Saccharomyces cerevisiae S288C: one gene and its partner. The gene in region 2 interacts genetically with the main gene of each other region. Each region holds a gene or a part of one and is shown on either strand. Other genes may lie near its edges.

What was found. A genetic interaction does not mean that the proteins touch.
Region 1: of NHA1 (region 2) and ERV14, extra expression of one rescues a mutant of the other (dosage rescue), as found in Saccharomyces cerevisiae (4 studies listed by BioGRID, with this or other methods).

What each region holds. Positions count from the first base shown.
Region 1 is NC_001139.9:400,280-403,059, forward strand, and holds ERV14 (cornichon family protein), read right to left. Parts: upstream 1,009-2,780; coding exon 592-1,008; downstream 1-591. Other genes in the region: pheromone-regulated DUP240 family protein PRM8, read left to right, coding at 2,310-2,780. UniProt on the Saccharomyces cerevisiae protein: Could regulate export of the bud site and axial growth sites selection protein AXL2 and possibly other secretory proteins from the endoplasmic reticulum in COPII-coated vesicles. Seems to be required for axial budding pattern in haploid cells.
Region 2 is NC_001144.5:416,749-420,512, reverse strand, and holds the start of NHA1 (Nha1p), read right to left. Parts: upstream 2,077-3,764; coding exon 1-2,076. Other genes in the region: RKM5 (S-adenosylmethionine-dependent methyltransferase), read right to left, coding at 2,404-3,507. UniProt on the Saccharomyces cerevisiae protein: Sodium export from cell, takes up external protons in exchange for internal sodium ions. Also capable of exporting potassium ions.

The DNA.
Region 1 (2,780 bases), on a different chromosome or scaffold from region 2:
TTTTTTTTTCTCTTATTACGATTTACCTTTTTTATTTATTTTTTTCATTTTAGTATTTTATTCTTCGTTATTTATGTATAGAAATTTTCATTTTCATTTAGATTCAGATTTGGTTATCTTTTTTCATTATATATCTTTTGCACTAAGTTTCAACTTAAGTTCTATTTTTTATTTTTTTTTTCTGGGCCCTGGAGCAATAGATATGGGATGGCTTACTGCATCTCTTCAAAATTTCACAGTCATGCTCACCCTTAAGTTCTCAACCTTTTAGTTTTTTTTTTTTTTTTTTTTTATTTTGTATGGCATACTAACTATACAAATATTTATATGTACATTTATACAGTAACCTATTATTTACCGATATTCACCGGTATTTTACTTTAATAGATGCTGGTAATAACGAAAAAAATTGATAACTCCCACCGACAATTGAGAAAAAAAGCAAAAAAGGAAAAAAGGGAAGCACGAATTAATACATTCTGTGTATTTATCTTTTTTATCTTCAGTTTTCCTCCAATCTATGGGCGGCCATTAAGTATGTCTATTATTCTTGGCCCTTCAGTCTTCTTTGGATTTCAATGTCTTGTTGGATTAGAAGTCATCACCACTTTCAGCAATCAAAGCCATGATCATTCTGTACAAGTAGAAGAAGAACATCAATAAGTGGAAACCTAACTTTAGGAAACTCTCCCTTTTATGTTTGCCTAAAGTTCTGAATATTTCGGTAGCATCCAAAAGTTGAACTTTATTGTAGATCTTGTTTAGATTGTAAGCTAGAACTGGTAAGTTCAATAAAAATACAAACCAGTAACCGTTCAGTAAGAATAGTAATGACAAAGCACCATGCAAGGCGGCTTCAGGGGTAATTAACTTGTTAACTTTAGAACATAATTCAATTGGATTGATATAGTCAGCTTCTAAATCAGCGTATAGTATTGTGAAATGCACTTGGCCAAACAAATTGATACAGTTGACAACAACAGCAAGGATAAATAACCAAGCACCCATTTTTCTTTTTATTCTTAATTTTTTTACTTTACTTTAATTGCAGTTCAAAGGTAAATGTCTTTGTTAAGTAGGCAGTGAGACATAATAATATGAGAAAAATCCAGGTCTCTCCTTCGTATTAAGGAATACATGATCTAGCTATCACTCTTAAATCTTTCTCCTTCCTTGTTTTTTCTCCGAAATGAAGAAAAAAAATTTTCTTCACGGAACTAACGTGAAAAAAAACTTTCAAAAAAATACTCCGATACGGGGAGTCGAACCCCGGTCTCCACGGTGAAAGCGTGATGTGATAGCCGTTACACTATATCGGAAACAAATTAACTGAAAATGTTGTATCTCAAAATGAGATATGTCAGTATGACAATACGTCATCCTAAACGTTCATACAACACATATGAAACAACCTTATATCAAAACGAACAACATGAGATAAAACCCGGCCTTCCCTAGCTGAACTACCCAAAAGTATAAATGCCTGAACAATTAGTTTAGATCCGAGATTCCGCGCTTCCACCACTTAGTATGATTCATATTTTATATAATATATAAGATAAGTAACATTCCGTGAATTAATCTGATAAACTGTTTTGACAACTGGTTACTTACCATATATATTATTGAGAAATGGGTGGATTTTGAGATAAATGTGAGAAATGGGTGAATGTTGAGATTGTTGGAATAAAAATCCACTATCGTCTATCAACTAATAGTTATATTATCAATATATTATCATATACGGTGTTAAGATGATGACATAAGTTATGAGAAGCTGTCATCGATGTTAGAGGAAGCTGAAGTGCAAGGATTGATAATGTAATAGGATAATGAAACATATAAAACGGAATGAGGAATAATCGTGATATTAGTATGTAGAAATATAGATTCCATTTTGAGGATTCCTATATCCTCGAGGAGAACTTCTAGTATATTAGGTATACCTAATATTATAGCCTTTATCAACAATGGAATCCCAACAATTATCTCAAAATTCCCCCAATTCTCAACATCCGACTGCCATGCAATGTGCTTTTCTGGATCTCACTCATGATCATAATGGCCCTGTAAAAGGCTCGTACTGTTATTATCATATCTTCAATTACGTATTATTTCGGAGGCTGTACCTATTAGTGAAATAACGCCTCTAAAAATGAAAAGAAGAAAAAGAATATGAAAGGGGTTCTGAATTGCTAAAATATTTCGTCAAAGCTCAATTAGTATCAAGATCAAGTCGTAATTCGAATCAGCATAACAACCTCCAAAACCATATAATAACCTTACACAAGACAAGATATCAATTCAACATGCAAACCCCTTCAGAAAATACCAACGCCAAGTCGGATTCTCTCGACGAACCCGGTGCATATTTAATCGAGGAAAATGTGGCTCTTCCTAAGGACATATTCCATTCGTACTTGAGTTATTGGATATATGAAGCAGCTCACTGTACACCGGTCATGCTTTTGTCTCTAGTAATTGGGGTTTTAATCTCAATAATTATTCTTTTTCATGATAACGAAAATTGCGTTGGGGTTTCTGTAGGGTTTCTCCTCATATTCTCTGGCATTTTAGTGATAGTTCTAATACTCAGGTTTGGACCACAGATCAGTGATGAAGATTTCAAATGTAAGCTACTGATGGAAATTATCACACGGAAACCTACGGTAAAGGGGAAAGAATGGAGGACAATTACATACAAGATGAACCAGTATTTATTTGATAACGATTTATGGAACACTCCCTACTACTTTTACCGTGATGAAGATTGCCACCGT
Region 2 (3,764 bases):
CATTTTTCGAATTCTCCTCTCTTCACTACTGGCCATTGATCTTTCACTTTCATTTTCCATCTCGTCTTCGCTTTCAATCTCGCTTTCTGTCTCTTCTCCATCGTAACGGTTTCTTGGTACGTAAGTTCTTCCTCGGAGAGATGAAGATCTTTCAGACGACTCAAAACTTGGTGTGTTATTGTAATTATCGCTATATTCCTTTTCCGGTGTGTACTCATCTTCTTCTTCATCTCCACCCATTCCAATCTCCTCATTACGTTGTGTATTGACGGCTGTGCTCAATGCAAATGTGGCGGCGCGTGCTTCCTTTTCTTTTTGCAACCTTTCTCGTCCCAGATCATTCAACTCATCGTCATCATACATTTCATTTTTAGATCTTGATGAAAATATTTCTCTACCTTTGTTTCTCAGTTTCTGTCTTCTGTTCAATCTTTTCTCTTTTCTTGACAATTTCCTCCTCCTTGGCATACCACCAGCGGGTCTTGCAGGAATTCCGCTCGTTGCGACGCTACCAATTTGATCATTGTTTAATCCTTCTTCATCTTCACCTCCTGCTAGTCCCTTACGACCTCCTCCTTCTTCTGCTTCACCTTCATCCCCTGATAAAGTCATTTGAGTATCCATACGATGCAATGAAAATGATCGTCCAGCTTTATCCAACGATGGCAACCTTTGCATCCATGAACTTTTCCCATTATCACCATTGGTGGTGTGTGTAGTGAATGTTTTGGTTAACGTTATCGTGTTCAAATGACGACCTAGAGTTATGATTGCAACTGAAGAACCATGAACTATGATAGAAGTAACAATGAAAAAACAAGTTATTGGCCATATACAGGCTATCAGCTGCCAATGTTTACTTTCCTCTTTTGATGGTACAACATTTAAAGGAGTGGGTTCGTCACTAAAGGTAGACTCTAATTCTCCACGAGCTAGTATAGCGGCAAAAATTGCACCTACACCAATAGGACCAAAATGGCCCACAAAAAGTGCCTCACGCCACGATTTTATATCAGGTATAAGAGGTCTTAATATCATGACTGCAGGGATCCTACGTAAAAAGATGACCACTATCGAAAGTATAATTAAACGCCAGACGTTTGTGCCAATTTCACCGTTGTTGAATTGACTCCAAGGTATAATGGCACCAAAATAGATAAAATACGCATAGTTTAGTAGCAAATCAATCACGGTAGAAACATTACTTTCTTGTGTCTTTTGAGAAAACCACCCATCCCAAGCGAAAGTCGCACCGGCTGCAAATGATACCAATAGGTCATCCACACCCAAAATGGAGCCGAACCCAGCACACATGAACGCCAGGACAACGTAAAATGCTAAGAACGACTCACGATCGATAATGTTTTTCTTTTCGGCAAACCTGATGGTGATTCTGCCTACATAACCAATGAAGCAACCTAGCAAGCATCCAAACAAACACTCATACAGGATAGTAACGCAAATCCAATCTTTGACAATTTCTCTTCCATTACCGGGATGTAGGATTAAATTCATAGAAAGAAATAAAAAAGGAAAGGCCATACCATCATTGCAGCCTGACTCTGCAGACAGTAGATTTCTTAAGTGACCAGGTACTCTTTGGGCAAACTTACCGGAGACGACCGACTGCGCCAGAATAGGATCTGTTGCGGTAATGCACGCAGATATCAACAAACTAGCAGAAAAATTCAAGCCAGGTATAAGAATCCAAACGAAGAGACCAATAATAAGCCATCCAGCTGTCATCACTGGCAATAATAGCATCGTCACAGATACCCAATGCTTCAACATATATTTCCGTGGCAGTTCCACGGCAACGGCAAAAATTTGCAAACATAATACTATTCTCGTTATCTCTAATGTTATACTGTCTGAATTCCCCCATTTCAGAGGATTAAACCAGTTCAAGCAAACAGGACCCACAATTAGCCCAAATATACCTGCTACGGTGGACTCACCAATATAAAGCTTCTCCTTGACATAAAGTGACACTAAAGAGAAGATAGATGAAAAGACACCAACACATGCATAAGCAACGTGCGCCTTTGAGACTTCTAGTTGCTCCCAGATAGCCATAATATCTAGCTAAGTTCAGGATTTTTTTTTATAATGTACAAAAAAACACGATGCTTGGGAAAAATAAGTGCAGTGGAAAATGAAGCTTAAAAATCAAATGTGTGTAGAAAGTGTGATCCTATGTAAATCGCTAAGTCCGCTTTATCTTGACGATAACGGATCCAGCAGCTTTTAGATTATTAGCTATATCACACAGAGTTGGCTTAGTGCCCTTGCTAATCAAAAATGAAAATCTTCCCAATCCGTACGGAGGGGAAGAGGCACTGCCGCATCGCAAAGAAAAATAAGATTATCAGCATTATATTGTTTCTATTATTATATATGGGACTAGGTGATAAGATAAAAGTTAAAACGGGACTCTTGTATGACCTGGTCAACGATATCATAAACCGTGAAGTCATATTCTATGATGGCTTTCTCCAAGAACAGTGTTGTCACCTCTTGTGACCGCAAGTGTATCCCCACGAGGACATGGAATTGCAAATTGTAGGTAGTTTGTAACCAGTGTTTGAGTTGCTTGAGCGTCTTCAGAAACGGATCTATCAGGTACTCGTTGTATATGACATCCATAGCTATAACGTACACGGAAGAACATGTTTCACCTATGAGTGACAACTCAGGATGCAGAGAGTGGGTCTTTTTGTCTTGCAAGTTTATCTTCTCCCAGTCTAGAGCGGCTACTTCCAAATGCAACGTAGACTTAGATGGAAGTGACGCTGCGGTGATATCAGCGTCGCCAACTGGTTCGACGGTGGGAAGTTCCAATCTTAGTGATCGGGAAATGCACCGCTTTCTGGTCAACTGTGATAAGTTTTCCATGATGTTATCTTTTAATTTATTAAGAATGCCCTTCTGATCTGTCGACACGTAGGTGTCGACGAAGTTACCAAGAATCACGGGCAAAATACCTGATATTCCTGCTCCAAGTTCCAAGATACCTCTCTTGCCGCGATCAGCGCCCGTGAGGTCGACCAGCCTGGGCAACTCAAGCTTGTGCCCCTCGCAAGAAGACCCGCAGGTTACTTCCACCTGACTCCCAAGACGGAAAGGTGCAGCGCTAGTACTATACAGCAGCCAGTTGATGAAGAAAGGTGTGGTAGACCACAAAACGTATCCTGTGGTGGAGTTTCCGTTGTCTCTGGACGAGCGCAAGCTTGATATGGACTGCCCCACGCTAACATGATAGCTATCCACAGCAACATTCTGATCTTCTTCAACACTACTAGCCTTATTTCTTCTTCTCACTCGCTTTTTTTTTCTGCCGCCTTCCAGCCCAGAGGGTTCAAACGTTATCTCTAGCACACCGCCCCTTCTATCCTGAATACCCAAATCCTGCGCCAGTTTCCCGGACTGGCCCTCCAATTGTGTGTACCGTTCGAACACGTGCTCGTATATTGTTTCCTCATCCAGTAGCCATAACTTGAATGCCATTCTGCCTAGCCCATTTGCGTCTTCGCTGCCGTAACCATTCTCTCTTCTTGACAGCACTGCCTTGGTCAGTTCTCTATATTTGTCGCGCCGCCGCAAAATGCACCCACATTAAAGAAGACGACGCCAATCGACACCCTAATTTGGAGGTGTAGATGCACAATGGCACATGCAGTTGGGTGCATTGTGCCAGCAATCTCGTCTCGATTTCTCTACATGTAACTTGTATATATATTTGAGAGAAGACATAATCGTTGGTG